Arabidopsis thaliana: one gene and its partners. The protein of the gene in region 4 interacts with the protein of the main gene of each other region in a pairwise test. Each region holds a gene or a part of one and is shown on either strand. Other genes may lie near its edges. The genes, in order: BRX, AS1, AT1G35560 and MPK20.

The links.
Region 1: the proteins of MPK20 (region 4) and BRX interact in binary tests that used the Arabidopsis thaliana proteins (3 or more experiments, as listed by UniProt).
Region 2: the proteins of MPK20 (region 4) and AS1 interact in binary tests that used the Arabidopsis thaliana proteins (3 or more experiments, as listed by UniProt).
Region 3: the proteins of MPK20 (region 4) and AT1G35560 interact in binary tests that used the Arabidopsis thaliana proteins (3 or more experiments, as listed by UniProt).

What each region holds. Positions count from the first base shown.
Region 1 is NC_003070.9:11,443,155-11,451,627, reverse strand, and holds BRX (DZC (Disease resistance/zinc finger/chromosome condensation-like region) domain containing protein), read right to left. Parts: upstream 4,342-8,473; 5' UTR 4,308-4,341; coding exon 4,306-4,307; intron 3,865-4,305; coding exon 3,711-3,864; intron 2,803-3,710; coding exon 2,411-2,802; intron 2,314-2,410; coding exon 2,184-2,313; intron 2,082-2,183; coding exon 1,762-2,081; intron 1,654-1,761; coding exon 1,575-1,653; 3' UTR 1,436-1,574; downstream 1-1,435. Other genes in the region: NIP3;1 (NOD26-like intrinsic protein 3;1), read right to left, coding at 56-336, 573-797, 1,037-1,168. UniProt on the Arabidopsis thaliana protein: Acts as a regulator of cell proliferation and elongation in the root and shoot. Regulates roots architecture and primary root protophloem differentiation.
Region 2 is NC_003071.7:15,778,725-15,786,274, forward strand, and holds AS1 (myb-like HTH transcriptional regulator family protein), read right to left. Parts: upstream 4,757-7,550; 5' UTR 4,557-4,756; intron 4,228-4,556; 5' UTR 4,178-4,227; coding exon 3,074-4,177; 3' UTR 2,518-3,073; downstream 1-2,517. Other genes in the region: ACT1 (actin 1), read left to right, coding at 1,037-1,096, 1,233-1,626, 1,727-2,340, 2,452-2,517.
Region 3 is NC_003070.9:13,113,544-13,120,139, reverse strand, and holds AT1G35560 (TCP family transcription factor), read left to right. Parts: upstream 1-2,904; 5' UTR 2,905-3,015; coding exon 3,016-4,041; 3' UTR 4,042-4,314; downstream 4,315-6,596.
Region 4 is NC_003071.7:17,837,622-17,847,051, reverse strand, and holds MPK20 (MAP kinase 20), read left to right. Parts: upstream 1-2,671; 5' UTR 2,672-3,104; coding exon 3,105-3,128; intron 3,129-3,516; coding exon 3,517-3,925; intron 3,926-4,251; coding exon 4,252-4,379; intron 4,380-4,503; coding exon 4,504-4,563; intron 4,564-4,642; coding exon 4,643-4,792; intron 4,793-4,889; coding exon 4,890-5,045; intron 5,046-5,192; coding exon 5,193-5,404; intron 5,405-5,484; coding exon 5,485-5,586; intron 5,587-5,816; coding exon 5,817-5,959; coding exon of another isoform or gene 5,960-5,982; exon of another isoform or gene 5,983-6,043; coding exon 6,044-6,480; 3' UTR 6,481-6,884; downstream 6,885-9,430. Other genes in the region: AT2G42885 (Defensin-like (DEFL) family protein), read left to right, coding at 459-546, 786-937.

The DNA of each region.
Region 1 (8,473 bases), on a different chromosome or scaffold from region 4:
TATGTTTTAACAAAATCACCATGGAAATTTTTCAAAAGAGACTTAGAATAGTTACCCGGAGAAAAGGATGTCGAGTACTATGGTTGCGCCAATAGCGATTCCAGCGAATGACCCGGTGGCCCGTTTATCGGTTGCGACAGCAGATATAACAAACATTAGATTGAAAGTAGCGATGAACTCCATTACGAACGAGGTCGTATTTGAGTTTGACGGATATGTTCCCACATAAACATCGCCTTTGAGGCTACAAACATCGTCGTCTAGATGGAACACAAGCCGTAGAACTGCAGCCGCTAAGGTCGATCCGAGAAGTTGAGCGGCAATGTACCCCGGAACCTGTAATACAACCACCACATTACATATACAATGTAAGACTAGTTGGTATAGATGATATCTATGGTAAAATGACCAAATATGCGAAATGGAATAAACGAGAAAAACTTGATTTAACAAATAACTAGTGGAAATACATATTTTGCTGCTTATAATTATGAATATGGTCGAAATCATGAAATAACATTATAAAGATAGTATGAGGTATTTTTTTACAATTGTAGATATCTTTGGATCACCTGATTAAAAGGGAACTTCTTAGAAGAGGCAAAGGCAATAGAAACAGCAGGGTTGAAATGTGCACCAGAGACATGACCAATTGAGTAGATCATAACCGTTACGACTAGTCCCCATACCAAAGCTATACCGGGAAGTGTCACCGGTTTGCCATACGTCTCATTTACCACGATGGCTGAGCAACCGGCAAATATCATAGTGAATGTCCCCACGAACTCTCCAATCAACTATAGAGTACTTTCAACAAAAAAAATCAACTAAAGAGAGAACAATAATGTTTGTTTTATTTGATTATCATACTTCATAGATTGGAAAATCAGTTACCAATAATTAGAACCAAAGTCAAGATTGAGCTTGCATATAGGCTATAGCAAACATCACACGAAATATAAAATCTTGATTTGGACTAACAAATATTTCACGACAAATTAAGAAACCATATCGCAACATAAAAGAGGCGGCTCACCTTTTGAACGAACGATACGGACACAAGAGGAGCGGATAAATCCGACGACCGGGAATCATCAATGGATTGATAGTTTTCGATGTCCAAGACAACGGTTTGTGTCTGAGTAGTAATATCAGAAATCTCAGCCATTGATGGAACTATGGTGACTTTCCTCCAAGTTTATGGTTTTCTCATCTAAAAACTCAAATGGTCAACTCTACTTTGTATTCGTTATAACTTATAAGCAAATAATAAAGTTGACTTTTTTATTCTATAGTCTATACCGCATGTTGATAAATTCTTTTAGGTTCATAGTTGACTTCTTTATCTTTGTCACAAAACACACGACATGGTTTACACGATAGTTATAGACTTATAATTATATGTAAATGTAATCAGCTTTGATTAGAAATGATATTTCAAAACACTTAATTTATGTATAGATGTTAAGCTAAGATGAACAAAAAGATAAGCAAAATGTGTGTAGTTTGTGTTGTTATGTGAAGGAGATTAATTAATTAATTAAAGATTTTGGTACTCATAATATTTCGTTTGCTTAGAGGTACTGTGTTTGTATTCTCTCTCTGTTCTGCTCCCACCATGTCTTTGCATGCACTTCCCCAAACCGTTCCCGGCTGTTGATTAAACCACAAAACCATAGATTCCGGTTAGTCACGGTATGATTACCAACTTTCAAAATGTATATGATTAGCAAATGCTTAGTTTTAGACGTTTTGTTATACCTGAATCTGACTCGACGTAGCTCTCTAGTCCCATCTGATAATTGTCTGATGGTAATGTAAACACCAGGCTCGTCCTCTTCAATCCACTCAGCTTGCATTTCACTAGCATTGCTCATGGAAGGTGGATCATCTCTGGAAGAAGTTGTGGTTCTTGCTGCATCCATCGGTGGTCCTCCATGATAACTTCCTGGTCCATAGTTGCTAGAGCCGCCATAAAAGTGATGCGGGACAGATCCTGGAGGTCTGAAATTGTGTCTTGGAGTCCAGTCTTTGCTTTCTCTTGCTGAATCCATCTTTGAGTACGTTGAATCTCTCTGTGACTGAAATATAAACTTGTGTTACCCTCTCTGGCTTAAAAGACAAGATTCATATAGATCCTGTTCTGAAGAAAGACTAAGGGATCTAAGGATATATGTGTTTACCTGATCGTCGGATCTTGCAGGCGTTTGGAGAGCTTGGCGGTTAAATCTCTGTACATTGTAAAGCTCAACGATCTTGTCATAGTTCTCACCCCACCACCGTTGAGCTTGCCACTTATCAAACATCTCTCGGCTTTCAAAACAAGACACAAGTAATTGTTAGTTTTTATCTCATGTTTCAGCGTTGAATGCCATGAAGATATAGAGATTGTTTTGAGTAGTTCAAATACCTGAAACGGATCCGTTTGAGATCATTTCCTCCAGTGGGAAGAGAAGCAAATGTGATATGAACACCAGGTTCTACTTGAGCCATCCACTCTTTTGGTCCATCATCATCCAGTACAACATCACAAGACTGTGCAGAGATAGATTCTCGATCATTTCCATATATTGAAGTGAACTTTGATTCTAACCGTCCAGCTGGATGATGAGAGGAGTTTGTGAAGTCCCAAGCAGGAGTTGAACCAGCACTTCCACCCATGAAAGGGTATGGAACACCTTCAGAGGCATTGTCATAATCCGGAAATGATCTATGTCCTTTCTTCAAGGGACTACTAGAGGAACCAGTGCATGGCTTGCATTGTTTATAAGCACCAGAGAATTTCAAAGCCATATCTTTAATCTGCGTAACATATGCACCCAAAAAGACCGATTACATTCAAAAACTTTATCTTGTTTATCAAAGTAATCCATTTAAACACACAAGAATGTTGAGTATAACGGTACACAAACATTATAGGTAGTTTCAAGCCTTTTTAAGTATGACTAAGTATACTTTTTAGCCCAATGAAGTAAAAAGAGGTCTACTATGATCATTATTAAAAGAACAACAATAAAGCTATGAGATCTAACATAATTAAACATATGTATTAAAAAAAGAAACTTCATATTGTCTTCTTAGCCTGCACCACAATCATAACGGCCCACTATTTCTTTTGTTTATGTTCTTTTGATTTACTAAAATAGTTACCCCCACCCCAAAAAACCCTTTCTTTATTTCCTTGTCTAGGTAAGAATCCACTAAAGCTTATTTGAGAGAAAGGTATTTAGATCAAGCTTCACTAGCAATATTCATCAAAGTATGACCCCAATATAAGCTTTAATGATAGTCCTGATAATTCAACTGGCTACATAATTCAAGGATATGTACAATGAGGGTTTAAATTGTTTCAGTAGTTGTTTTTGACTTTCATATGTCTAGTCACATAGAGAGGAAGCAAACACTGACATGAAAACTATTAAAGAGAGATTGGTGAAAGATTCCAAAAAATGAAGTGAAGTTACCTCATTGTAAGATCTCTGTCCTAAACAACAGTAACCTCTATATACTAATGACTTCAAACTCTATTCTTTGGTAAAGAAAACGAATAATAGTCAAATATATGGACCCTTTTTAAGTCCTCTAAGATACGTTAATTGGGGTTTGTGTCTTTGTTTGTTTCACGAGCAAGGCAATTAGAGAAAAGCAATAAAATAAAGTGAAAGAAAATAAAAGCAGAAGAAGGATCAACAAAGAAAGAAGAGAGAGACCTGAATGGTTAGGCTTTTGACGGCTTCTTTAGTATTGGGAGTGGTGCCTCCACGCGCTCCATGTTCGACTTCTTCACCTCCGTCTGCTTTGGTACAAGCTATGCAAGAAAACATTTTTGGTCTCTTTTTTGAGTTGTTCTCTGCCTTTTCAGACCTATAAAACCAGAGAGTACTCTATTAAACATCATCACAAACCAAACCTCACACTACTCTACTCAAATCAATAATAATACTCTACAAAACAAAACAAAAAGTAATTAAGAACGTTAAAGTAGAGCTCACTCTCACAATCCGACATAAAACACGGGTAAAGCTTATGTAATCGTAGTACACATGTAAACATTAGTTACAAGTTAGGAACATATAGCTAGAAAAGGGTATTTGGATTTCAATTGTCGTTTTCTTATAACGCAAAACACAAACACAAAAGGACAAAGTTGTTGACATATCTCTAGTCAGGAAACAACTACTCATGTTATAACAAAAAGAAAATGTAACTTGACTGGTTAGTAGTTTAACTCATAAAGAACCAATGCTAAATATTTCAAGTACTAAACCCATTTTTTAAAAATGGAAAGAAAGAAAAACAGTTTACATTACACCATGGTCGGATATTTGTGTTACCTATTTTAAGAGCGAATAAAAAAAGATGGGTATAAATTAGTGAAGAGATCTTGATAAAGACAAAAGTGTTGAAAGAGATATTAAAACTACATGTTACACTTTTCTTTATTAAAAAAAAAAAGATGTTATAACTAGAAAAGAAAGAGAGCTTGGGGATCAGAAAATAGGACCCAGTTAAGAAATACTAATATTTTAAAAATTAATTGTGCAAATCTAAACACCTGAAAATTGTATAAACACATTATTTACAAGTAATAATATATTCTAAAGACAATCATAATAGAGACAAATGCTTCTTTATTCTACTTTAAATAGTTTTTTTTTTTTGTTAAAGAATAACTTAATACTTTTGTGTGCAGCAAAAGATCCTAAACCCATCCCTCAACTAACAAAAGTTCGAAGAATAATTACATTTTTTTTGCAGTAGCCGAAATTTATGACATTTTAAAAAAAAATCAGATTATTGTGATGACTCAAGAGAATCAAATAATATGTTCTGATTCCGCGTGTTTAACATCGATCAAGACAAATACATAAGTAAAGAAGAAAACAATTGGAAACACTAGAAAAGCAAAACAAAATTGAAAAATATAACAAGAAAATGGAATCTTGACAGTCACGTGTTAAGAAAAAGAAAAAGAGATTGGTTTCTATTTTTAGGGTTTTGAGTGATGATGGACCAATCTAAAGCGTGTCGCGACATGAAAACTAAAACTATATCCAAAGTAAAAGATAAAATCGCAAAAACAATCACGAATCACGAAAAAAACTCTGTTTTGATATCAAAAGCAAAGGCAAAAACTGATACAAAAACCATTATTATTCTCACCTCAGAAAACGACTTCTTCTTTTTTTCTTAATCATTACAATCCAAAAAATAAAATTTTGATTAGTGGGTTTTGTTTATTACTCACTCACCTTTGTGTTTCGATATCTGAGAAATGAAGCGATATGATCTGAGATTATTGAGATACTAGATAGCTAGCTTCTGCTTTATTTTCCTCTTGAAGGCTTTGGTCTATTTAGGAAGCCGGCACGAGTGGGGTTAGTTCTGAGTCTACGTCTATAAATAGACCATCAATGGCTGCAGAGAAGATTAGTGTAGTAGTGTTACAGACAGTAATTGTAATAAATGTGTTACAAAAGGACGAAAACAATTTATGATACTACAATTTTGCTTTTAATGTTTTTGAGAAAAAATTCGGCGTTTTCTCAAAAAAGTAAAAGAACAATAAATACCGGGAAACTTTTGAATGAAAATGAAAATTTATATTAATATTGAAGAATGAATACACATTTTTCGGTGAAGTTTCTGATTTGGGTTTAGTGAGAAAATTTTGGTATTAATCAGAAAAAAATGACGAATCGAATCTGTCTAAATCAAATCAATCAAGTGACAAATGTTTGCAGAAAAAGGTAACGCAAAAAAAAAAAAAAAAATCTCTGAATCTTTTTTTTTCCGGGAAAAAATAGTATTGAAAAGATCGATCGGAAAAAAACCAGTGACTAATCGTTTCTACAGAAGAACAGAAACAGAGCAACGAATCTCTCTGTTTTCTTATTTTCCCGAGAAAAATCTTCAAAAAAGAGAATTTTTATAAACTCACCTGAAATGTCTTCTTCTTCGAATCTGATTATGTAATAAACTTCACTGAGAAAATCTCCAAACTCAAAAACCCATAGAAATCTTCATTTTCCGGAAGAGAAATTTGGAAAAAATGAGAACAGAGACGAAACCGGGTCGAGAAGTCGGGTTATTGGGTGACCCGAGAACTGAAAGGAGCTCCGAGAGTTTTAACTAGACGAAGAGAAGAGAGACAAGAGTTACGAAGAGTATATATATATACGTGGAGGAAAGAGAATGTTTAACGGCGTTTAATGTAATAAAAAAGAACCGTGAGTTTTGACGGAGGTTTATTATTTTGGTGTGCCGAGGAAAAATATTGGTCTCGAGAAGAGACGGCAAAGAGGGCCCATGTTGTCTACCGGTGACGGAGATGGCTTACGTGTGGTGGAAGTAGAATACGTGGCGGTTTCTGATTGGTTTGAGACAGCTGAAACCGGGTCGGGTTTTGGTCACGATACATTTGACAGGCCAAGGGAACCGTCGCATCACGATTCGCTTTGTGTGGGTTCATTTCATCATCTCTTTTTATTTTATTTTACTATACATAATATATGTGTGTTTCATCGTTTTGTCTTGTTTTGGTTATGATCATGTGTGCCAATTTTTTGTTGTTATGTTTCTACTAAATGAGTAAAGAAGCATCGATTGTGAATAGAATCAATAACTTGTTCATTGAATTTTTTTCATTTGGACATTTGGAGTTATATAATATAGTGTGAAAGTGTAAGTTGAAGTGTTTGCTTAAATAGTGTCCCAATCATGGATTAATGTTGGCATGGTGGATGGAGTATTGAAGTATGGGATGATACAACTATTTCTATTTATTTTACACATGTGATGTGTTTGTTTGTCATGTTCATTTCTTTAATATATAATATAGTGTAATGGTCCGACCATATTAAAAAATAAATAAAAAATTGTCTTTTCTTGACTCGTTAAACCAAATTATGCTAGGTTTAGAGATTGCTATAGAAGAAAAGCTTGCAGAATTGACGATGTGTTAATGTATTTTGGAATAAATATTTGTACTGTAATTTTGTTTTCTTCAATTGCATATGTAAGTATCTCATGCATGCAATGACTTTTTTAGAAAAGAAATGTTAAACGAAGATTTCTTATAAATTTTATTATTTTCATTCATATACGTGAAAAGTACGAAGGAAGTGAAATGTCAAAAGAGTTTTAAAGACAAGCATTCTTGATTTTGGGGTTAATGATGAAATATTTGGCCATGTTCGAATTTCACTGAAGGTTATAACATAGTGAATTACAAATTTTCTAAGGAAGTACAAACGAGCTGAATCTCTATGATATAAGAAAAAGCATACTAGTAACATAAAATGTTAACCTCAGACAAAAAGGTGTTGATATTAATCACAATGAAGTTTCTCAGTGTAGCTTGAAAGAATGTATCGAGTTCGAAGCATTTAAAATAATTATATGAAAGTGATATGAACGAGCTTGACTTTACTTAGTCGTGTTGGTCATCGATTTTTTCTACTTTTAATTTTAGATTAAAATATGTAGAAAAAACTCACTTGATTCCGATAAAGATGGTAAACTAAAACACAAACTTTTAATTATAAAATTACTAAATAATGATAGGCATAAGGAGTCATTCTCCAAAGTTGTATAGGCTGATAATATCGTGATGTTGATTCGCGGTTAAGTAATAGGCATTACACTTCTCTGTAAATTATGGCCACCAATTAAACTACATACATGGATTATTTAGGTTGATCTAGTTAATAACTAATAATTTTGGCTTGAATCAACTTTGATCATAACATTGTTAGTCAACCTTCTAAATTTGTTGTCATATGAAATGTTGTAAAAATCAAAACGGCATCGATTTAGATTTAATAGATTTATAGACAGTATATATTTATACATAAACTGAAAAAAACCTTGTCAAAAAAACTTAGTAAACTTATACAGAAGAAGCTTATAACATATAACACTAATATACAGTATATACGTTTATACATGTTTTGATGAATTTACATAGTCCATTAATAGTAAAATAAAACTAAGTTACTTTGTTTTCTTAAAAACGGATCATATGACTTACCAAATGTAGACGGTTGATTAAAGGCTTTTGGATCAATCATAATCAATATAAACCAACCTTTGATAGTTTGTATAAGGATTCACTAAATTTACATGGTTAATGTATGAATTTTCACATGTGATTTAATTCATGTACGAATTTAAAGAGTGATCATAGATTCATAGTTCATTTATGATGAATTGGTTTTCCCAGTGGTCGGGTATTTAAATTATTTTGTACTAAACAATTCATTTCTGTTTGTAAAACAAAACAAAACAAAATTAAACAACATTCATATACATTATAATGAATAATGTACTAAATGACAAAATGCAACAAACATTAGTTTTTTTTGCCTTTTTCTGTTTAAACATCCAGTAGTAGTACTATGTATATACTAAAAGCATTGAACTATTTTTTTGTAATGATCCAACTGTAGTTCGATCTGAAAACATTGAAAAT
Region 2 (7,550 bases), 2.1 Mb from region 4:
TAATCATATATTTGTGTCCAGTGGATTGAACAAATATGCTCGGCCCATGCGGAAGTAATGCCAATTTTGGGTGAGTAAAGCCCATGCGAAATTTTCACATAAGAAATGCATGCTTTTTGTTTTCAACGACATGAGTTGCATGCTTTTTATCATTGCTTATATAGTTGCAAGTTTGCAACTCCTTGATATTTTTTTTATGTAGACACTACTACCACCAAAAACTTTTGGTCTGCTTATTCTTGTTTACTATGTAAAAAAAATAAATGAATTGTTTATTTACTCCGATTTGATGGAGTCTGGTTTATGAGGTTTTATAGCCTTTACAGAAAATTGATAGTTACAAAAATATTTTTCAAAAATAAAAGGGTAAAACCGTCATTTCAAGTTGTTATTGTTTTGGGGGACTGGATTTGAAATGAAATATAGAACCGGAAAACAAGGTGAGCCGAAGTCGAAGCCTTTGGACCCGTTTTTATATTTACTCCTCCCATTCCCTTCTCCTTCAATCCTTCCTTCCTCCTCCTCCCTTCTTCTTCTTCCCCTCTTTCATTTTCCAGCCACTACAAACTTTTCTATCTCTACTTTTTTTCCTCTCGATTTCAGGTACTTTTTGAGACCCTTTGTTGTGATTTTCGAACACACACCCCAATTACGTTTGATTTTTGATCCCGCATCGATTTCAATTCATCCGTTTCTGAGTTTCTTTTGGATCTGGGTGTCTTGAGCTAATCTTTTCGATCTGTTGTTTATCGATTTTACTCATGCGTATGTTCATTACACCATTTGTTATTTGTTTAATCAACCAAAAGACTCATGTTTTTCAAATGTCTTTAATATAATTTTTCTGATTGAATTTTATAATATTTACATGATTCTGGATCCAGAATATCCTTCTTCTTCTTCCATTTTGTCCTGTATTGATTTGTCTTTGAAAAAGGATTGTTCTTTGTATCTGTATTGGTGAAAAAGGATTGTTATTTGTTGATAAAAATTTGATCTTTAAACAATGTTTGGTTTTGCATAAAGGTAGAAGAAAATGGCTGATGGTGAAGACATTCAACCTCTTGTTTGCGACAATGGAACTGGAATGGTTAAGGTGTGTCATTCTTTCTCTCTGTTTTTTTTGACAAAAGTTTTCATCTTTTTTTCAATTTTTGATTGATGATCCTCTGAACAATGTAGCATTTGTTTTTTTTTGTTTAAGATGATGATGTTCTTTTGTATTGGAATAGGCTGGTTTTGCTGGGGATGATGCACCTAGAGCTGTGTTTCCTAGTATTGTGGGTCGTCCTCGTCACACCGGTGTGATGGTTGGGATGGGGCAAAAGGATGCTTATGTTGGCGATGAAGCTCAATCCAAACGAGGTATTTTAACTCTCAAGTACCCTATTGAGCATGGAATTGTCAACAATTGGGATGACATGGAGAAGATTTGGCATCACACTTTCTACAATGAGCTCCGTGTTGCTCCTGAGGAACATCCTATTCTACTTACCGAGGCACCGCTTAACCCGAAAGCTAATCGTGAGAAGATGACTCAAATCATGTTTGAGACTTTCAATGCCCCTGCTATGTATGTGGCTATTCAGGCTGTTCTTTCTCTTTATGCCAGTGGTCGTACTACCGGTGAGTGTAGCGCTTTTGTGTCCTTATGGTGTAAAGCTTCGATCTTTGTACATTTTTGCAGAGCAAAACGTAAAGCCTTTCTTGAATTGTGGATGTGCAGGTATTGTGCTCGACTCTGGAGATGGTGTGAGCCACACTGTTCCTATCTATGAGGGGTATGCACTTCCACATGCTATCCTACGTCTTGATCTTGCTGGTCGTGACCTCACGGATGCGCTGATGAAGATCCTAACCGAGCGTGGTTACTCTTTCACCACCACAGCAGAGCGTGAAATTGTCAGAGACATAAAGGAGAAGCTTTGCTACATTGCTCTTGACTACGAGCAGGAACTCGAGACAGCCAAAACCAGCTCATCTGTTGAGAAGAACTACGAGCTACCTGATGGGCAAGTGATCACCATTGGATCAGAGCGATTCCGTTGTCCTGAGGTTCTTTACCAGCCATCTATGATTGGTATGGAGAATGCTGGTATCCATGAAACCACCTATAACTCCATAATGAAGTGTGATGTCGACATCAGGAAGGACTTGTACGGTAACATTGTGCTCAGTGGTGGAACCACAATGTTCCCTGGAATCGCCGACAGAATGAGCAAAGAGATCACTGCTTTGGCTCCAAGCAGCATGAAGATCAAAGTCGTTGCCCCTCCAGAGAGGAAATACTCTGTCTGGATTGGAGGGTCCATCTTGGCCTCCCTCAGTACCTTCCAGCAGGTACACACAGTCCCATCACTTGTTTACTCTAAACAGACCTAAACTAAATCCTAATCACTCTCAGCTTAACTAAACTGGTTCAATTCTGAAACTATGTGTTACCTTGTGCAGATGTGGATCGCAAAGGCAGAGTATGACGAGTCAGGTCCATCGATTGTTCACAGGAAGTGCTTCTGAGTTCAAAGTTGATCATTTTTCAGAGAAGAAGCACCGCCAGGGTTTTTCCGACCATTTCTCAAGCCGGGTTTTTAATCTTCCGTTATTCTGCTCTTTGTTTTTGTTCTCTTATGTTTTGAAATTCATGCCAAATACATTTTCATGGATTTATGGTAATCTGTTTGTAGTATGGTTTAAAATCTAATGCAACTGTGTTTTTGAGTGAATAAGTACACACCTCTTCCTCTTCAATTTTTCAATTATTATGTAACAATTTGTTTTCTGTCTTCTACTTGAATTTACACATGTAAAGATATAAATCGATTTTATTTATAAACCAAAGTGTTGCAGCTGACTAAATCAACATCAAGCTTGAGAAAACAAAGCCATGGATAAACTGAAGTGATAAATGGAACACAAAGGTAAAAGAAACAAATACAAAGCTGAGGTAAGGAACCCAAAAGTCTAAGTAAACATTGGAGACACCCAAATGATCAAAGACAAAAAAAAACAAAAAAAAACAAAAAAAAAACCTTACATTACATTACAAGTTACAACAAAGAGTTTAGGAGACGGTTCAGGGGCGGTCTAATCTGCAACCCATTTGTTGTTCAAGAAACTTGGTGAGTCTGATATGCCTAGAGGTCCATTGATCAGCCAGTTTCTGGTCTTTGGCCTCTGCGTCTCGCCTCAAACCAACGAGCTGTTCTCTGTACTCTCCTTCGATCTTCTCCATTGCGTTCTTCTGCTCTTCCCTAAGAGCTTTCATCTTTGCCTCAATCTCCTCCATCTTCTCCCTTTGTCTACACGTCTTCTCTGACTCTAGCTGCAGCTCCAGCCTTCTTAGCCTCCATGCAGCCTCTTTCTTATGGTCTGCCCAAGCTCGGTGCCCTTCCTCCAACTCTCTACAACACTCCACAAGCTCTGACAAGAACACACTCTCGCTACTCCCACTACAAGACGGCATCATACTCCCTAACACAAGTCCCCCTGGACCGTTCTCTGCTCTCTCAGGCTGTTGCTGCTGCAGCCACGGGATTGGCGGTTGAGGCGCAGCTGCAGCCACTGTGGAAGGCGATAATGTCAAAGTTACCGAGGGAGGCCTTGCAACAACATTGTTCCCATTGTTAGAAGTAGCTAACCAAGGCGGGATCACTGGGTTAGGAGGCTGAACTTGTTGTTCAGAATGTAAAAACCCTCCATTCGAATTAGCCATCACAACCGTTGCAGCAGCGGCAGCAGCAGGGACAACGTTAGACCGCTCTTTGACAAGCTTCTCAGCGAAACTCTCGAGAATCCGATCGTACTTACTCTCGTCAATAGGCTCAACTCTCTTGTTACTCTCTTTCTCTTCTCTCTGTTGCTTCTCCTTAAACACTTCCCACCACTTCCCTAACCGCTTTGCCGTCCTCCCGGGAACCTCAGCAGCAATCTTCTTCCACTTGTTGCCGTGTTTCTCCTGAAGACGGATCACAAGCCTCTGCTCTTCCTCTGTCAAAGACCCTTTCTTGATCCCTGGCTTAAGATAATTCTTCCATCTCTCTAAACAAGACTTGGCGTCACGGTTCAAAGGTTTGTTCATACGCTCAGACACAAGATGCCATTCTCTCGGACCGAACTGTCTAACGTAAGCACGTAACAATGCATCTTCTTCACCACTCCAACGTTGTCTCTCTTTCATCTCCTACTCCTCCTGACATCACTTCTTCCCATCTCACCATCCTTCTTCATCTGTACCAAATTCAAAATCAACCCGTTTCATAAATCTCTCCAATTCAAAACTCTAAAAGATCGAAACAAATCTACAAGATCTGTCGAATTTTCGAATTAGAAATTACAAAGTCTGAAAAATTTCCGTTTCAAGAAATGAAAATGACAAAAACTTTGACAATGTTTGAAGCAAAACTTGGAATAATTTGTTATTATCACACTATACAACCTATATTCTGGAAACCAAACAGGGGAAATTAATGCTGACCCCAAAACACTATTAAGCAAAGACTTATTAAGAAGATAAGAGAGTTAAAATTATTACTATAAAACAAAATAAAAATGCTTACCAAATGATATTGAAAAGATAAATAATCCCAAACTCAAGAGCAACTTCCATCACACAGATTTGCTCTCTCTCTCACTTTTTTTTTTTTATATAGTTGGAGAAAATGGAAGAGAGAAAACGAAAAGACCAAAGTGAGAGAGGCTTTTAAAACCAGACGACGTACACGATTAGACCACAGAGACGGCATAATTAAAATAAAATCTTTAAAAAAAAAAAGAGAGAAAAAGTTTACCGACTGAGACACAGACGTTTTCCCCTTTTTACATCACAAGTGGGGAAAAAAAAAACTCTGACAGAGGCGCGTGGAGGTGAAAAGTTGAAATTCCATAAGTTCGTTGTTTGTCATTGACAATATTAAACCTTTTTTTATATATATTTACTACATTGGGATCTCAAAATTCATTTTTCTATAACATTATGAGAAATAAAATGACAATCTAATGTAGGGGATGCTTTAAATTTAAATGAAAAAGTGTTGTACTTTAGTGGCTGAAAAGTCATTTACTTGTCAAAATGATAGAAGAAAAACTAACCATTCAAGAAAATAATGCTCCATTTATAAACTCCTTCACTCAAACAATAGAATTTTATGTCCAATTTGAGTAACATTAATTTCCACTTACCCATAAGAAAAATAATTATAATAGCATAAAAATAGTTAACATTTAAACTTGTTGATTTATTTTCCAAACACTTATATTTTGAAACAGCATATTAACATGGAAAAGTATTTGTTGAAAATGGAAGATTTCGCAATGATGATCAAATAGAGATGAGAAAATAAAGTTTTTGCAATGAGAAGAGATAGAACATCACTAATGTTACTCCCTATCAAAAAAAAAATCAATAATGTTGCAAGAAAAAAAAGAGAAATTTTATTTAAAAAATGAGCAAAACTAGAAATAATCAAGTAATTTTATAAAACCTTAGAAGATCTTTCTATTTGCCATTTGAAAACTTTAATTAGTAAAATAGATTTGGCTAAACAAATAAAAAAAACTTTTAGGCTAAAAATTGGATTTGACGTATGAGTAATTGGGGATGAGGGGGACACGTGTCAGAAAATGGGAATGGTATCTTTTGGGGAAAGCATGTAAGTGTGTAATAATGGTCCCCTTCTCTCTCCCATAACCCTACCAAAAATACTTTTCTTTGTTCCATCACATCCGACTACCACTACTCACTCACACCCTCCGTTTTTTTTTTCTGCTACCATGCGCCAAAATCTTCATAGCGTATTTTAGTATTTCTCCGACGTCTATAATCAGGCAGACAAAACTTTCACTCTTTTATCATTGCATCAACTAGTCACTCATCACCCCCAAGTATCTAGCTTATACAAATTAGGCAACCACATGTTTTCTATATAATATGATGTCACTAAGGTCTATTTATATATTATTATAATAAGATTATTGTTGACATTGTTGTTGTAATAGTGATACTGTAATACTATTATTCTAATAATGTATTTGGATAATTCAGTGTTGCATTATGTGTAATAGTTAATCGTAGCAGACACAGCATTACTAAGTCAATACATTTTATTTTCGATTTTTTTTGATAAAAATTTAGTTTGCAATGGTTTCCATTTTCTATTGTAATTTGTAAATCATTTCATCATGCAAACTTTTTAAGAGACATGACCTGACATTAAAAGTTCTTTTCACAAAATTAGAATGTTAACTACAAAAAAGTGAAGAGAATTTTCAAAATAAAATCACTACAAATATAGTAATAATATCTTTTTTTTTTTTTTTTTTTTTTACAGCAATAGTAGTAATATCTTTCCCCAACAAATTAAGCTGAAAAAATCAATATTCAAGAAACTAGTTTACTCTCAATTTTTTTTTTTTTTTTTTTTTTTTGTCAATCAGTTTACTCTCAAGTCTCAAAATAATACAAGAAATTATGCAGTGGTGTTGGTGTGATCTTACACAGAGGAGCGGAGAGAACAGCCAACATGGTAGGTTGATTTAACCAAAACAAGAAAAGTATGTTGATATGAGAATAGTGGTGGGCCTTGGATGGGCCTGCTTTGAAGGATAAAAAAATAAATTATCGATGTGTATGATTTACTTGACCGTTTGATTGCCTAATATATTTCTCTTTACATTCAAAATTTAATAGAACTTTTAGTATTGTGTGTTTTAAGTTTGAGTTAGTGCATGTTTCCCAGTTGCGAATCGTAAGATCTATCATTAATCACATGTTTAATAAAAAAAATAAAAAATAAAAATGAATAGTTTTTTATTATCAGGCGATTCGGACCATTTTGGTCCATAGTCTCTGATCAACCTTCAATAATATTTGTGATGGATCCACAGACATTAATCATCATGCATAGTTCATAATATTGCATGGCCCTCGCGACCTAACATGATATACATTTTAGAATTTTGATTCCGGAGGAAAAAAACTTTTAGTAAGCAAAACAATAAAAGAAGGATAAAATATACTATACTGTATATATAGAAGGGAATGTGAAACAGAGCAAAGACAGTAAAAAAAAAGAGAAGGTAAAAGGTGATGGTATCAGAGAAAGGTGTTTTTGAAATAGGAAAATAATAGTAGTGAGGGAAATGACATGACATATGAGTTGTCAAATTGAGGCAGATCCCTTCTCTGATCTTCTCTCTGCCATCTCTTGCCTTTTACCTCATGTGCTCCATTCTCTCCGGCTTTTTTTTTTCTCTTTTCTCTTTTCTTTTTCTCGTTTTTTTAATATTTATAAAAACCTTTTTTCCTACAAAATATGTAGGGATATTTTCAATTTGGATACATTCCTACATGGAATTTTCTTTAATTGGTAAATTTGTTGAAAAATAAAATTTGTCTTTAGTGTTTGTAAAACTAGATTTTTTTGGGTAGTTAAGCTAGGTTTTCTTTTAGAAGACAAAGCTAGTTTTTCTTTAGGACGTCTTGGTAGTAGCGCTTTTTTAATAACTAAATTTTTATATTTGTATTAATATGTTTTATTCTAACTTAAATTCTT
Region 3 (6,596 bases), on a different chromosome or scaffold from region 4:
GAACAGAGGATGAGGACATTGTTCTTTGGAAAGGTAAAAATGACGTATATAAGCCACAGTTCTTGACTAAAGAGACCTTGAATCATATGCGGACCATATCCATGGACGTTGATTGGTATAAGGGTGTTTGGTTTGGTCATTCCACGCCAAAGTACTCTTTTTGTGTTTGGTTAGCAGTTCTTAACCGACTCTCAACAGGAGACAGAATGACTCATTGGAATGGAGGTCAGTCAGCCGCTTGTGTGCTATGTCACAACGCTCCCGAAACCCGGGATCATCTCTTCTTCTCCTGTGACTTTGCTTCGATAGTTTGGAGTAACTTAGCAAGAGGAATCTATGGAGACAGATTTTCTACACATTGGCAAGACCTGATACAAGCCATCTCCGGCTCTTGGATGACACCGCTTGACAGTTTCTTTGCGCGATATCTCTTTCAAGCCACGGTACACACCATTTGGCGCGAAAGGAACGGAAGGAATCATGGAGAGAAACCAAACTCAGCAGCTCTTTTAATCAAATGAATAGACAAACAAACTCGGAACCAGCTTTGTTCGATCAAAGCAAGTGGAGATAAGAGATATGACAAGGGCTTACAAGCTTGGTTTGCGATGAGAGAATGAGAAACAATTTTTAGATTGTATTCTAGTTTTTGCTCCAGTTTTTTCAACAAAATGTTGCACATAGATGTAAAAACGCTATTTTTTTTTTGGATTTAATTTAACATTACATTAAAAAAAAAAAAAAAAAAAGTACGATGTATATCACAAGATTATAGAAATACGAGATTCTATGTATCTAGGTGGTATCAAAGAGAAGTGAAAGGTTGAGGAAACTTTTTACAAGAAATGTAAAATGGGATGAGTGAAATTAAAGGGAATGAAAGAGAGTAGAATTGTTTTTTGGATGAGAACTCATGAGATCATACCTACACACAAGACCAACCCAAAGCTAAAACCTGTAAAGCATGGGCTTTTTAGGCAGTAGATGATTCTAAAACAATTTAAAAGCACCATTTTAGAGATATATATGGTCGAAGAGTGATTAACACTTTCACTCTCTCACCATTTTATTTTATTTTTAACGTCTTGCCTACACATTTAAAACATTAATTGGTTGATACTTTTATACTTTTTTAAGCAATTAAAATAATTTATTTAAAAATAAATGTATATAAAAAAATATTAATAGTTTATTTCTTAGATACTCAATGAGTCTCCATCCAATGAAGGTGCTCTAACAGAATCTTGAACAAGGCTACATACTATATGGTCTTGTAAATGAACATTTTCACTTTTTGGAGAGAACAGAGACAAGACAATGGACCGTGGGAGGATCCAGAGTTTCAGACCAAACATCACGTTTTTTTATCACTCGCTTCTTGTACTTCTTCAACTATCTCTGACTGTTTTACTGTTTTCTTTCACTGCTAATGCTTACACGTGCATCTGTCTCAACAATTATTTTTCAGGAAAATAAAAAATAAGAGAGATTATATATACAGTTCAAAATATAATTGCATATATATATATATATATATATATAAATTATATAAAATATACTGTTCAAATATAAAGTTTTTTTTATAGTGGTTTGGTTTCACTTTCATTGTTATCTATAATTTAGCTCACGGTGCGTACATGTAACTTACATTAAGAACAGCCAAAAAGCTCAAGCTCGTGTCCAAATTAAGATTCCGAATGGTATAGCTAGCAATATAATATATTATATGGTTTTGGATTGATAAAAACATAAAACCTAATAAAGGAATTTAATTGATATAAAAAATGAAACAATAATACAGTCTAAATATTCAATTATGAATTAAAATATTGCAATAAATCAGTTAATAGGCATTAATACTAATATGATTATACATACATGGTTAATCACTAAGAGCAACGTGAATATCAATAAACTAATTGATTTACTACGCTTGCATAATTATTTTCCTTAAAACTTTTTGATTTCGAATACTTTGTTAACACCCTGATACATGTGCATATAACATAGTAGGCTGAAATTGGACTATTCTTAGACAGTTTTCACATCTAGAATGAGATGTATAGGTTTCGTTGAGAAAAATTGTAGTTGAGATGATTAGTTATATATAACCTATGTCTGTGGGTGCTAATTTGGCAGATGGGAAAAGAATTGAAGCCTTTATATATAGTCTTCAATTATTAGTATCATCGTTAATAAAAACAGTGGTCCTTATCTCTCAACAAGTCTTTCATCAAATTCGGATAACAAAGACAAAATAGAGAATCAAAGAAAGAGACATTTGTGTTATTATCAGTAAATTATTAAAAAAATAAATAATATTAAAACACTATTATATTGGGTGTAAATTGGCTCTATGATTAGTGATTAGTTTTTTTCTTTTCCCCCATAGAACATTCAACGTTTCCCACCCATGCAAAATCCAACCTAAAAGCCAAACTTTATAAGGAAACCAACAAATAGATCCCTACAATCTAAAGATTGCAACAAAAATGCCCCAAAATTATAATCTTAGACAATCCACACCTTTTTCAATCATGTAAAACACTTCCAAACTTTTCATAGTCCATTGCTAAAAATAGTTTTAGTCTCACAAAGTTAGACCAAAATTCAATACATTCGGCGCATAATTATTTTTATACTACAATATAGTAAGTGTGATAATAACCAAACAAAAAAAGGTTAAGTGATCATTTGGTGTGGAAACAGCAAATATTGGTCTCTACTCTCTACTACAAAAACCTAGTGGGACTACAAATGAAAATAAAACACAAAAGAAAAAGAAAGTGAAAGTCTCTCTCTCTTTTCTACAAGCTGCTTCATCTTCTTCCTCTCACTCTCTCTTTCTCCAAACAAGTAAACAACAGTCAACACAAACTCATAGCCCCACCAGAAAAAAAAAATACTCCAAGAATTTATAGGTTATAAGTAAAAATTCAGTACAAGTTTGTTTGTTTGTTTATTCCATTTTCTTGTGTGTTTTTTTCCCCATAATTTATAAATTTTATAAGCAATATGGAGTCCCACAACAACAACCAGAGCAACAACAACACCACTGGTTCGGCCCATCTGGTCCCATCCATGGGACCAATCTCCGGTTCAGTCTCATTAACCACCACTGCTCCAAACTCCACTACCACCACCGTCACCGCCGCTAAAACACCCGCAAAACGACCGTCCAAGGACCGTCACATCAAAGTAGACGGACGTGGCCGGAGGATACGTATGCCGGCTATCTGCGCAGCACGTGTCTTCCAACTAACACGTGAGTTACAACACAAATCGGACGGCGAGACTATAGAGTGGCTGCTCCAACAAGCGGAGCCAGCTATCATCGCAGCCACCGGAACTGGAACCATACCGGCGAATATCTCTACTTTGAACATCTCTCTTCGAAGCAGTGGCTCTACTCTTTCAGCTCCACTGTCTAAATCTTTCCACATGGGAAGAGCGGCTCAAAACGCTGCCGTTTTTGGGTTCCAGCAACAGCTTTATCATCCTCATCATATCACGACAGATTCTTCTTCTTCTTCTCTTCCCAAAACATTCCGTGAAGAAGATCTTTTTAAAGATCCTAATTTTCTAGATCAAGAACCCGGTTCAAGATCACCTAAACCGGGATCCGAAGCTCCTGATCAAGATCCGGGTTCGACCCGGTCAAGAACACAAAATATGATACCGCCGATGTGGGCACTAGCGCCAACGCCAGCCTCCACAAACGGAGGTAGTGCTTTTTGGATGTTACCAGTCGGAGGAGGAGGAGGTCCGGCTAACGTTCAGGATCCATCACAGCACATGTGGGCGTTTAATCCGGGTCATTACCCGGGTCGAATCGGGTCGGTTCAGCTAGGGTCTATGTTAGTGGGAGGTCAACAGTTAGGGTTAGGTGTTGCAGAAAATAACAATTTGGGGCTATTTTCCGGCGGAGGAGGAGACGGTGGTCGGGTTGGTCTCGGAATGAGTCTTGAGCAAAAGCCTCAACATCAAGTGAGTGATCATGCTACTAGAGACCAAAATCCTACTATAGATGGTTCTCCTTGAAAGACTTCATGATTTCTTTGGTTTTTAAAAAGTGTGAATGTGTGATTTATTGCAACTTTTGTTGAGGACTCCAATGTTAATATGGGTTTTAGGGTTGGCTTTTCGGGATTGCCAAATTGTTATTTAAGAAAATGGATTTATTGTTTTGGTTGCATAATAATTAACGAGTTTTGCAACTCTTTTTATTCGATGCAAAAGCATGTCACTTAAAGGAAATATAGTTGAATCTCTATGTGTAACATAATGGACAAAAGAATAAATTAAATATTTATCAGAATGCCTTTTCTCTTTTGTTGAAGGGTATAATTGAATACACCTTCTTTGACCGCTCATATATTTCAAATATTTCGAATTGATTGCAGTTCGTAAAAAGCTAACGAATATAAATAAAAAATTATATGGTGTAGACTGTAGTGATAAACTTTATTGGGTGCATGAGCACCACATGTTTGGATACAAATGGGTTTTTAGATTTATATATTAATTCTCTTTTAAAATTCGTATTTTGTCTATCATACTTTTGTAGTATCTACCAAAAAATTGTCCACTTGTGGAGCAACATGGACACGTCAGAGAGAACTCCTATGCCACAGTAAATTCCAATGTGTTTGAAAAATAGGCTGGACGGGTAATCAGGCGAAATGCCGTTTTTAATGTGACTAGGGGTTAGCCCGGATATATATTTTGATAATTGATATTTTCAAGTTAGTTGATATAGTTTAAAAAAAATATTGGATTTGATTTCGGAAGTGTATATAATAGATGGTTTATTGGGATTTTTATATATTTACTATTTTTAATATATTTAAAATATATTAGAAATAATATGTTATCATGTCAAGAAGAAAGAATATGATTTATTTTACTTGTGATTTATATATCTATCATATATGGGATGTAGAAGCATGCTCCTAACTTAAGCTTTAGCAAGTTACATATTAACATAAGACTTGTTACATAATTCTGACCAATTACAATTGCTAGAATACGTGTATCAGTAATATTTTAGAAAACGTTAACATGCAAATATAAAAATATTACTTATCCTAACTTCTGTCTTTTATTAATTCGTGTATTGACTATTTCATATTTTTTATTTATCTTTCTCTCGTATTACCAATGTCAAAGCGGAGTATTTGGCAAGAAAAATTCGTGTCAAACCGCTACATATTACCTATATAAACAATTTTCCGCAATCTTGGTTCATCTGAACTCTAAATAATATCTGATGACAAAAAATAAAATCACTCTCAACATTCTCTTCGGGAAAAATGTCATGTAATCATTCAACTTTAAAAAAATGGCCATTTTATATAGGAATTTCATAGTAAGCTATTTTAAATATCAACTAAATGTTGACTGCCATATTAAACATGAAATTGCGTTGATCAGACCAATTTTGACATGACGTTAAAATGTGATTACGGAACCACTAAAAGCCGATATCAGTCGTTAACTATTCTGTAGTCATGTGTTTTGGTTATTTGTATTCTTTTTATTTTTTTTTGTCTTAGTTTTGTTGTGCGTTAACGATTGATAACAGTTGTTAGTGGTTATGTTAGTAGATTTTAAAATCATGTTTTTTTTGGCCGGGTCAACATTTAGTTGATGATTAAAATAGCCTTATACGAAATTCATGTTCAAAATAGCCTAAATTTGAAAGTTGGTAATTTGACTAACAGAATTGTTAACGACTGTTAGTGGTTCCGTTATCGGATTTTAATGTCATGTCTATATATATTGGTTAGGTCAATACAATCTCATGTTTAATACAGCAGTCAATGTTTAGTTGATGTTTAAAATAATATACTATAAAAATTCAATATAAAATGACCATTTTTTAAAGTTGGACGATTAAATGATATTTTTTCCATTTCTCTTCTCCTCTATTCTCACAGCGCAGTTCTCAAAGGTGATTTTTTTAATCATCCTTCCGTTGACCTTATACACCATCTCCGACCCTCCTCCTTCGTAGATATGCTCTGCTTCCATGCACATTTTGATGAGGGAGAAGACCCATCTATTAATAATTTCTTATGCATTGTAAACATCGATCTCAAGAAAACATTTTCTCTACGTGGTATCTATGGAACATGCAGCTGATATTAATTATTGGCTGTGATTAAACTCAAAGCTTTTATAAACTCGATGAGAGAGTAGTGATGAAACTCAAACATATTTTATCATGATGCAAGTGGCAAAGAAAGTTGACCTCACGAAGAGATCTCTTTGCATTGATCTGGACATCTGGTGACAAAAATGCATCACCAATGTTCTTTGACACTACCTTTTTACTGCTCTTCAAGTTCATAGCCGGATTTAAAACAACAAACGACCAGTTAGTATAGGCATCTTGCTTAAAGATTGTCCAGTTCTTCATCAACATAATCCATCTTTACACATCAGTTTTCAACATGAAACCTAGCTCTGATAATGGTTCCTCCCTCTTAACACTCAGGAAAGGGAAACACAAAATGAATAAGAGAAAGCAAATTTAATTACTTTAGCTTGAGTTTATAGGTTTTAACCTTCATGACCTGAGTTGAATAAACCAC
Region 4 (9,430 bases):
ATACATTATTTTGATAAGTTTTGGAATATTCGACAACAGAAAATTCTCTCTATGTGTGTCCAATTATATTCGGTTTATGTAGGTGGTAATTTAGTAATTAATTACCAGTTTACCACACAGAATAATGGTCTTCCAGTCAAAGTGATTGTAATGTGATTTATACAAATACATTTTGATATTAGTATTTAATTTCTCCAACATGAACTTTGCATTAAATTTGATATATTCAAGTATAGTAATTTTTTTTATAAGTATTCAAGTATAGTAGTTTTAAGATTCTTTCTACTTAAAGAAGATAATAAAAAGAAATGAAAATCTCTCTTTACCAAAATAACAAATTTATTTATGGAAGATCTACTTACTGTAAAATAAAAACAGAGGATAAAAACTTGAAACTTTCCAAGAAAAATAGTCCTATAAATAAGACTTTCACGAAAACCTAAAAGATAATAGAACCTATGGGTATCAAAAAAACCTCTGCAACTGTTTTTCTTGTAATTATATTGACAATTTCGTTTTCTTATTACGATGTTGAGGCCGAGTCAGGTATGTTGTTTCTTTGCGAAGATGTTTATTTTTTTTTGTTATTTTCAACTATCTTTGATCACTACCAAAACAATAATTCAGGAAACAAAAAATTCTTAAAAATATAGAATTAGTAATACAATATTACATGTATCTGTGTATATGTATATGTTGTTAAGAACCTTGAAGAAACTAAAACTGTTATTTGGACATGTATCTACAGATTTATAGTTTTAATGTGGAGTTGTATATATGTGCAGTGATCGAGCCAGCAAAATATGGTGCTTGCCTTTTTCTATGTGATGCTAGACGGGATGATCATGCATGCTTCTATGACTGTACTAATGTAGCTATTTACCGGACTGGACATTGTGTTGGAAATCCTCCACGCTGTTGTTGCATCAGAGGATAATAATCGATTTATCTTCATGACTTCATCAATAATTGGTGAATGGAGCTTGATTTATGTGTTTTCTAGTATATGATTCTAAAAGATGAACTTTTTGAATTGTTGTTTTTCAATTTCTTGATAATGAATAAAACATATAACTTATCATGAATTTTGGTATTGGATTATGATTTTTGAGAGCTTATATGATCCAAAGCAGAGAACTTGGGGAGTGGTGAAAGGCCTTGAAGAAGGATTATTGCCTGGCGCTTGTAAGTGGTCAAAATGAGTTACCCTGGTGGGAAATTGGTTCTGTTCTTGCAGAAAACAGAGATCTTGTGTTTGCAGAAAAATTGCAAACCGAATCTTACATTTTCCATATCTCCTTACCCATTTTATGTTCGCAGAAAAATGAAAGACGTAAATTAGATTTCCTCACATTTTTTCACATAAAAAGAAAGAAAGATTTCCTCACATTTATTCAAGACTAGGTACAAAAATTCTTTGAAGATCATTTTGAAAAAGGATTAGGTCCACTAGATTGAAAAAGACTAGAAAGTAAAAAAAAATGAAGATATGTTTTCTTCTACATGAACCTTATGATGCAAATATCATTTTGGCCAAATACATAAAACAACAAAAATTTAACTTAATTTAAATCAAATTAACACCAAAAAGAAGATTAGAAAAAACATGTCTATTGAAAAAAGAATATGGAAGTATAAAGTAAAACAGTACTAACACACTATAAAAAAAAATGTATTATTCTTCGTTTTTCAACCAAACACTATGATTTGTGCTTACGTAACAAGGTCTGATTGATATTTTTTGTTTAATCCCGTAAGACTAAATATAAGATTCGCTCAATCGTCAAGTAGTTTAGTTATTAGCTAATCAAAATATGATTATCTTTTTTATAATTTAGTTAAATAATTACACTAATGTGAGCTGGTTTGACTTTTGATTTTAACCACAAGAAGGAGACAGTAAGACAGACTAATGATTAGCTGGTTTATTACATTTGACAACAAATCTCTCACGCGTCAGAGATGACGTGGCGTTAACTATTCGGATATGAAAAGCCCTGCGTGTTTTAAAAAAATGGCATGGCCCATTGGGCTAGTTAAGTGAGAGTTTGTTTTTTTTTCTACCCCTAATATTACTATATTACACTCATGCCACAACCAAAAGCTAAATTAATATTGTTGTTTTTAATTGAAGGTTATTTGATATACAATATTAATGGAAAAAAACAAAATAATATATATTTTTTTTTACAGCAAAATAATTGAGAATCATATTACCAGAAACTTAATACAAAAAATAAGCTAAAAATTCCTTACAAAAATGAAGATGATGAAATATAGATTGAAAATATAATTTAGCAGTATATACAATATAGCAAATGATAAAGTGAATAAAACAAAGTTTTAGCAACTAAAATTAGCAAAAAAGCTTTTAAGGATAAAGATGATAACATTCTATTAACATTATATCTATGAGATAAGTACGTGACAAAACGAAAGAATTGGATAAAGAAGACATGAATGAATGGCAATAAAGATCAAAAATAGATCATACACTAATAATGACCAGATCAATAATGTCCTAATTAATTTATTAACACTTGATCAAATAATTTATTTTTTCGTTTTACTAATGGGTTGTTTTTTTGGATCACAGTGACCAAAGCAGCTTACCAAACGCGACACTTTAACCTCTATATATAAATCTCCGTCTAGATTCCTTCCTTATCTCTCTCTCTCCTTTCATTTTCACTACTTCTTCGTCTCTCTCTCTCTCTCTCTCTCTCTCTCTCTGTATCCCTTGTGTGTCGGTGATCAGATCTCGTGCCGACGAAAACGTGCGTCTAAAGCAATGCTGTTCGCACTCTGCTATCTTCAATTCCTCGATTTATCTTGAACTGCGATTGTTTGTTGTTGTTTCGATTTCGTTGGGGGTAATTGGGTGAATTAGAGAGGTGAATGAGAAATTCGCCTGCGATTCTGTCTCTGTCGGTGATCGATTGCCGGAGCAGAACCAGGTCGGATTCTAGCTTCGCCATTTGGAGTAGTGGTCGATGGGGCCAATGCGGCTGATCTGAATTTCTATTTCCCTCCCCCCAATTCAGATCGAATTCTAGGGTTCTTCTAATTCCTGGGTTTTTAGTCTGTGTTTCAATTGAGTCACGATGCAGCAAGATAATCGCAAAAAGGTGAAACAAAAACTCTTCCTTTTTTCCAATTATTCCATCCGATACTATCTGTTCTGTCTGAGATATTTATGTGTGTGTTTCGGTTAATCTTGTTTGTTTCCTGTTACTGTCTTTAATCTTTTTGCCGTTTTGGACAACTCTGTTTATGATCAATGAACGTTACAAGTGTCATCAAACAAACAACGCATAATTGTCATCATTCAAGACAAGATGATGTGTTGTTGAGACATTTTTTTTATTTCTTCATCAGCAAATTGACATTCAATTGCATTGATCCTTCATTAGGCGTCCTTTGTAGCATCAGTAGAGAACCTTCTGCATCTGATTCTTGTATAGTGTTATCTCTATTGTAATGTTTCTGACTTGGAAGTAATGGTATTTGTAACAGAATAATCTGGAGATGGAGTTCTTTTCTGACTATGGCGATGCCAATAGATTTAAAGTTCAAGAAGTTATTGGAAAAGGCAGTTATGGAGTTGTTTGCTCAGCTATAGACACTCTTACGGGTGAGAAAGTCGCGATAAAGAAAATTCATGATATTTTTGAGCATATTTCTGATGCTGCGAGGATTCTACGTGAGATTAAACTTCTTAGACTCCTAAGGCATCCAGATATAGTTGAAATTAAGCACATTATGCTTCCTCCTTCACGAAGAGAATTCAAAGATATTTATGTTGTCTTTGAGCTCATGGAATCGGATCTTCATCAAGTTATTAAAGCCAATGATGATTTGACTAGAGAGCATTACCAGTTTTTCCTGTATCAGTTATTGCGTGCACTGAAGTACATTCACACAGGTAGTCTTTTTCTTTTGGTCTCTCTTTATCCGGCATCTAGCAATAGTCTTTTCATCTTCAAATCTCTCTGTGTGTATATATCGCTCTCTCTGTAGATGAAAATCTTGGACACTTGCAAAATGTAGTGTATGTCAGATTTGTCTTTTAGGACTTTACATTCTACAGTACTATCTCATACATTGATGCACTGAATTGGATTCTTGCGGTTTCCATTGTCTGGCTAAATGTTTGCCTTTTGAAGTTTGCCCCAATATATCTGAACTTTAACTCAGCTGTCGAGTTTGGTTTGTTGTATTATATTATCTTATGAATCTTGGTTGTTGCAGCTAATGTCTACCACCGAGACCTGAAACCAAAGAACATATTGGCAAATGCAAACTGTAAACTTAAGATTTGTGATTTTGGATTGGCAAGGGTTGCATTCAATGATACCCCCACAACAATCTTCTGGACTGTACGTTTGACAAGATGGCTCTCTAAGAGTCTTTTCCTTCTCTTAAACTGAAGTTGGTCTAAATATTATTCACTACGTTGCAGGACCTGATACTCTTCTACATTATTTTCTACTGAATTTACAGGACTATGTTGCTACCAGATGGTATAGAGCTCCAGAGCTTTGTGGATCTTTTTACTCTAAGGTGTTCATTTGTTCTCTATATAACATCTTTTAATTGGTGTGTTGCCGCGATATAACTTTTGATGGATTTGGCTTTGTAGTATACACCCGCAATTGACATCTGGAGTATAGGCTGCATTTTTGCGGAGGTGTTGATGGGTAAACCACTTTTCCCTGGAAAGAATGTGGTTCACCAGCTGGATCTTATGACTGATCTGCTAGGGACACCTTCCCTGGACACCATCTCACGGGTATTGATCTTCTTGCTAAACGAAGTCCATTGAGTTTCTACACATCTTAAGCAAGGACCAGTAGTGATGAGTACCCTGCTTTTATGATGTTATACAGGTGAGGAATGAGAAGGCAAGGAGGTACTTAACAAGCATGAGGAAAAAGCCACCCATTCCGTTTGCACAGAAATTCCCAAATGCAGATCCTTTGTCTCTGAAGTTGTTGGAGAGGCTTCTTGCTTTTGATCCAAAAGACCGGCCAACTGCTGAAGAGGTGCTTTTCAACTTCCATATTGACTAACTATCTCAAATCTTGAATTCTCGGCTTCCTGATTGTTTTCTCTCTCTAATAATAGAGTATCATGCATTTGGGGTTTCTATTGGAGTGAATCACTAAACTACTCTTGTATACTTGAATCAGGCACTTGCTGATCCATATTTTAAGGGATTGGCAAAAGTGGAAAGGGAGCCTTCATGTCAACCCATCACGAAGATGGAATTTGAGTTCGAGAGAAGAAAGGTCACTAAAGAGGATATAAGAGAGCTAATTTCTAGGGAGATACTTGAGTACCACCCTCAGCTGCTTAAAGATCATATGAACGGGGCTGATAAAGCCAGTTTTCTCTACCCAAGGTCGTAATTTTTGTTGATTACATTCTTGAGCTAGCATTGCATATCACACCCAGTCCCTGACATTGATGTATACTGTGCAGTGCTGTTGATCAATTTAGAAGACAATTTGCGCATCTTGAAGAAAACAGTGGTAAAACCGGCCCTGTGGCACCTCTAGAAAGGAAACATGCCTCTCTTCCCAGGTATATCCTCATTTTTTCTGTAAAGTCTGTTGTCACTTGATCTGGTTTCGGTGATCTCCTCTGTTTTTGACCCCCGTTATGCAACTGCTATACTAGTTGTATATTAATATACATTGACATGGCAAGGATAAAAAAGATGGAATCATAAGACCGTGACTATCTGTTTCTTGTGTTGAACACTAATTTCTATAAAAATATGTCCTTCTGACTCTGTGTTTGCATGCTTTCAGATCAACGGTCATACACTCAACCGCAGTAGCACGAGGAGGACAACCAAAACTTATGAATAACACAAACACATTGAACCCTGAAACTACTCAAAACATTCCTTTTAATCATGCAACAATACAAGCACAACAAAGAAACCTCTCAGGTACTTTTAATCACTCATCCTGAATCCAACAGCAATGTGTCCAAACTGACCTCTATAAACTGTAAAACATCTATCTACACGCAGCAGCCAAACCAAGCACATTCATGGGCCCGGTTGCACCTTTCGACAATGGCAGAATCAGCAGAGATGCATATGACCCGAGATCATTCATCCGGAGCACTAATCTCCCCTTTTCACAACAATCTGCTGCAACAGTCGCCATGGGAAAGCAGCAAGAGAGAAGAACAACTATGGAGCCTGAGAAGCAGGCAAGACAAATATCTCAGTATAATAGATATGCACCAGATGTAGCCATCAACATAGACAACAACCCGTTTATCATGGCTAGAACGGGAATGAACAAAGCCGAAAACATCAGTGACCGGATCATAATCGACACAAATCTGTTACAGGCAACTGCCGGAATAGGAGTCGCAGCGGCAGCTGCAGCAGCTGCTCCTGGTGGTTCTGCTCACCGGAAAGTTGGAGCTGTTCGGTACGGTATGTCAAAGATGTACTAGTTCTCCACCTAAGCTGGGCTTTCATCACACAGAACATTGTATGTTTCCATCTTCATGTCATAAAAGAAAATTGTCTATGACACAAAACCATATGAGCAAAAAATATTTTTTTTATTAATTGTGATCCATCATTTGTTTGTTTTTTCTATTCCGACAAATAAATAAATGGATGTTAGATTCTGGTATATATAACAAGAAAGGTTGAGAGTTTTTCACGTTTAAAAGAACCGCTGGCTACAGAAGATGGATCAGTGTGGATGCGCATGGTGATGATGATGATGGTTTCATGGCACATCCAAACGCATGTGGTGGTGGGAACCCATATCACAGGCACCACTTTGTTCTTCCAAATGTCAGTAGAAACAGAAAGGTGCATTGTCACTTGATCATATCTTTAAACCAACCAATTTGTGTATATATTTTTGTGTAAACAGTTGAGTTCGCTTACTTTCTTCCTAAACAAGTTATTTCTTCTACAAATTAATAAATGAGCACAATGAGAGATTGCTGTTCAATAAATAGTATCTCAAAATAGAAATATCAAAATAAAATTAGAAAAAATCATTTAAAGATTATTTATTCACTTCTATTTTAATTAAAATAAAAATAAAAAAATTTGGGATCTTTCTTCTTCTTTCTGATTATAAAGTTTTTAATAAAATAAGTTTTAAAGCAAAAGAGAGATATAGCAAGTGAAAATGCATGTACAATTGAAAAAAATGCAACTAAATGAGGCCAAGAGAGGAGACAAATAAGGTTAGAGGTGGACCCAAAAACCACTGTATGCATTGTCCCAGAGATCACCCATCATGGTAGGTCCACCTGTGTGGCCCATATCTCCAGCCTTTATAGAAAAAAAGAGAAGATAACTAATTAACTTCCCTTGATTTGGAGTTTTTTAGCTAAACATTACATATTTTCTTTCTTAATCTTCCCCTTTCTTAATTCTTAAAAAAACATATACTGTCTTGTCTTTAACCAAACTCTTCTCTTTTATTTTTGTGGCAACAAAAATAAATAGTGAAAGGGAATCATCTCAAACTCCTCCTAGATATAAATATTTAGGTTTTCGTCATTAAATAAAAGTTATTTTGGAAAAAATAGAAACAACGAACAAGATACAAAAGGACATAGAATTGATTATTCCAAGACGACGAATGTGAAAGCTGGCTAAAAGCTAAAATTAAATTTCGAGTGTGTTATTTTTGTAACATATTTAATGTAAGTGCAAATACATAAATAAATAGATACTAGAATTGGGGAGAGTGTCAGTTTGGTAGATGGTGAAATGCGAAAGGCACCCGATTTTTGTAAATCTCAATCCCGAGAAACCAAACCCTCCTTCGTCCCCTCTTTGGAAACATCATCTCTTTCTTTATTTCTCTCTTCCATCTTCTTCTTCTTCTAAAACAACATCTTAACAATTTTTAGTATTACTAAAAACCCTAGACGTAAAAGAAATGTGTTATTCTGTTCCTGATCTTTGTCTTAATTAAGACCATACATTATTTCTTTTAATTAGATGTCAATCATTATTCTTTACTAAATTTTTTTTCTTGAGTAGATTTAGGTTAATTTGCAATCTTGGATTAAAGACCTACAAAAATGCAATTGTTTTTTTTTAATGCAATTATTTTTTATTAAGTCTTTATCTAGTTTTTATATCATATAGTTGACAAAAGAAATGCACCGGAGGGCTCATTTATGGAACCAACATTAAGTAAGATTTACTATAACGGTTTTATGTATAAAAGATGTATATTATAAAGATCTCTAGCTAGAAACATGTAACACTATATTCGAATCCAATAACACTAAACTTCCTTGGCTTTCTTCTTGTTATATAGTGGCCATTTCTCTAACATTATAGATATATTGAGATTGTTGTTTTTACGTGGTAAGAAATATGGGATGTTAATTGGAGTTTCTTTTAATAAGAAAAAGGAGTTGACAAAAAAAAAATGAAGGACAGATTTAGGAGGTCACTGAGGTGGGGGGGACCCAAAAAAGGGTTGACACGTGGCCACCATGCCCGATAGATATCATGTGGATCTTAGTAGGATTAGGTCCTCAATTGTACGAACAAGTTCACTATCTCTTAGAGGATCTATTTGATCTCATCCATCTAATAATAATACTATATTACAGTCTGTACATAATGTATAGAGAGGAGGAAGCACATGGGAATGGGGCTTTGAAGATGGAGATATTCATGTGACCCGCACATGTCCTCTCCTCTCTCTTCCTTGTTCCCATGCAAGTAGTGTCTCACTGTATCCTTCTTCTTTTCCTTCCTTATCTCCACGCGCGTGGTCGTTTTCATTTCGTCCGTACTACGTAATTACGACAAAACTTACTCTTATACCATCAGGCATTAGTCCATTACCAGGCACCACCCGAATGGCCTATAAGCATAAGTGCATAACTATAGGGTTTGTCGTCGTCTACTTGAATTTTTCTTTTGGAAATTTAAGCTCACATAAAATAGTTTATACTCTTTATTCTTGTTGTAGAAAATAAGACTGGTAACTATGCAAAACAACGTATAGCAGCTATTACATTTATGGCTAAACCAGATCACAAACCATTTAGAGTTTAAATTAAAGTTCGAATAATATTTTAGCAAGTAATCCGGCTTGATAAATAAATGAGACACTTGCTAAAAGTAATCCGGCTTGTATTAACAACGCATATCCTAATACAATAATAAAGCATTGTTGTATAATTAGTTAATTACTATGTCAAACGTCTAGCTCTTAAACAAACAAATTTAACGTGCCAAATCTCATTTATCAAACAAACAAAAAAATCCAATCTAGATGCGAGGTTGATCCACTTAAGTGAGTGATGAGTCCACTAAAGTCTAAACCAGTCGACATGGCGCGTGAAAGCTCTTCTTCTAAAGATCCAAATCTGTGGAAGCAACCAAAGTAAGAGATAATTAAATAAA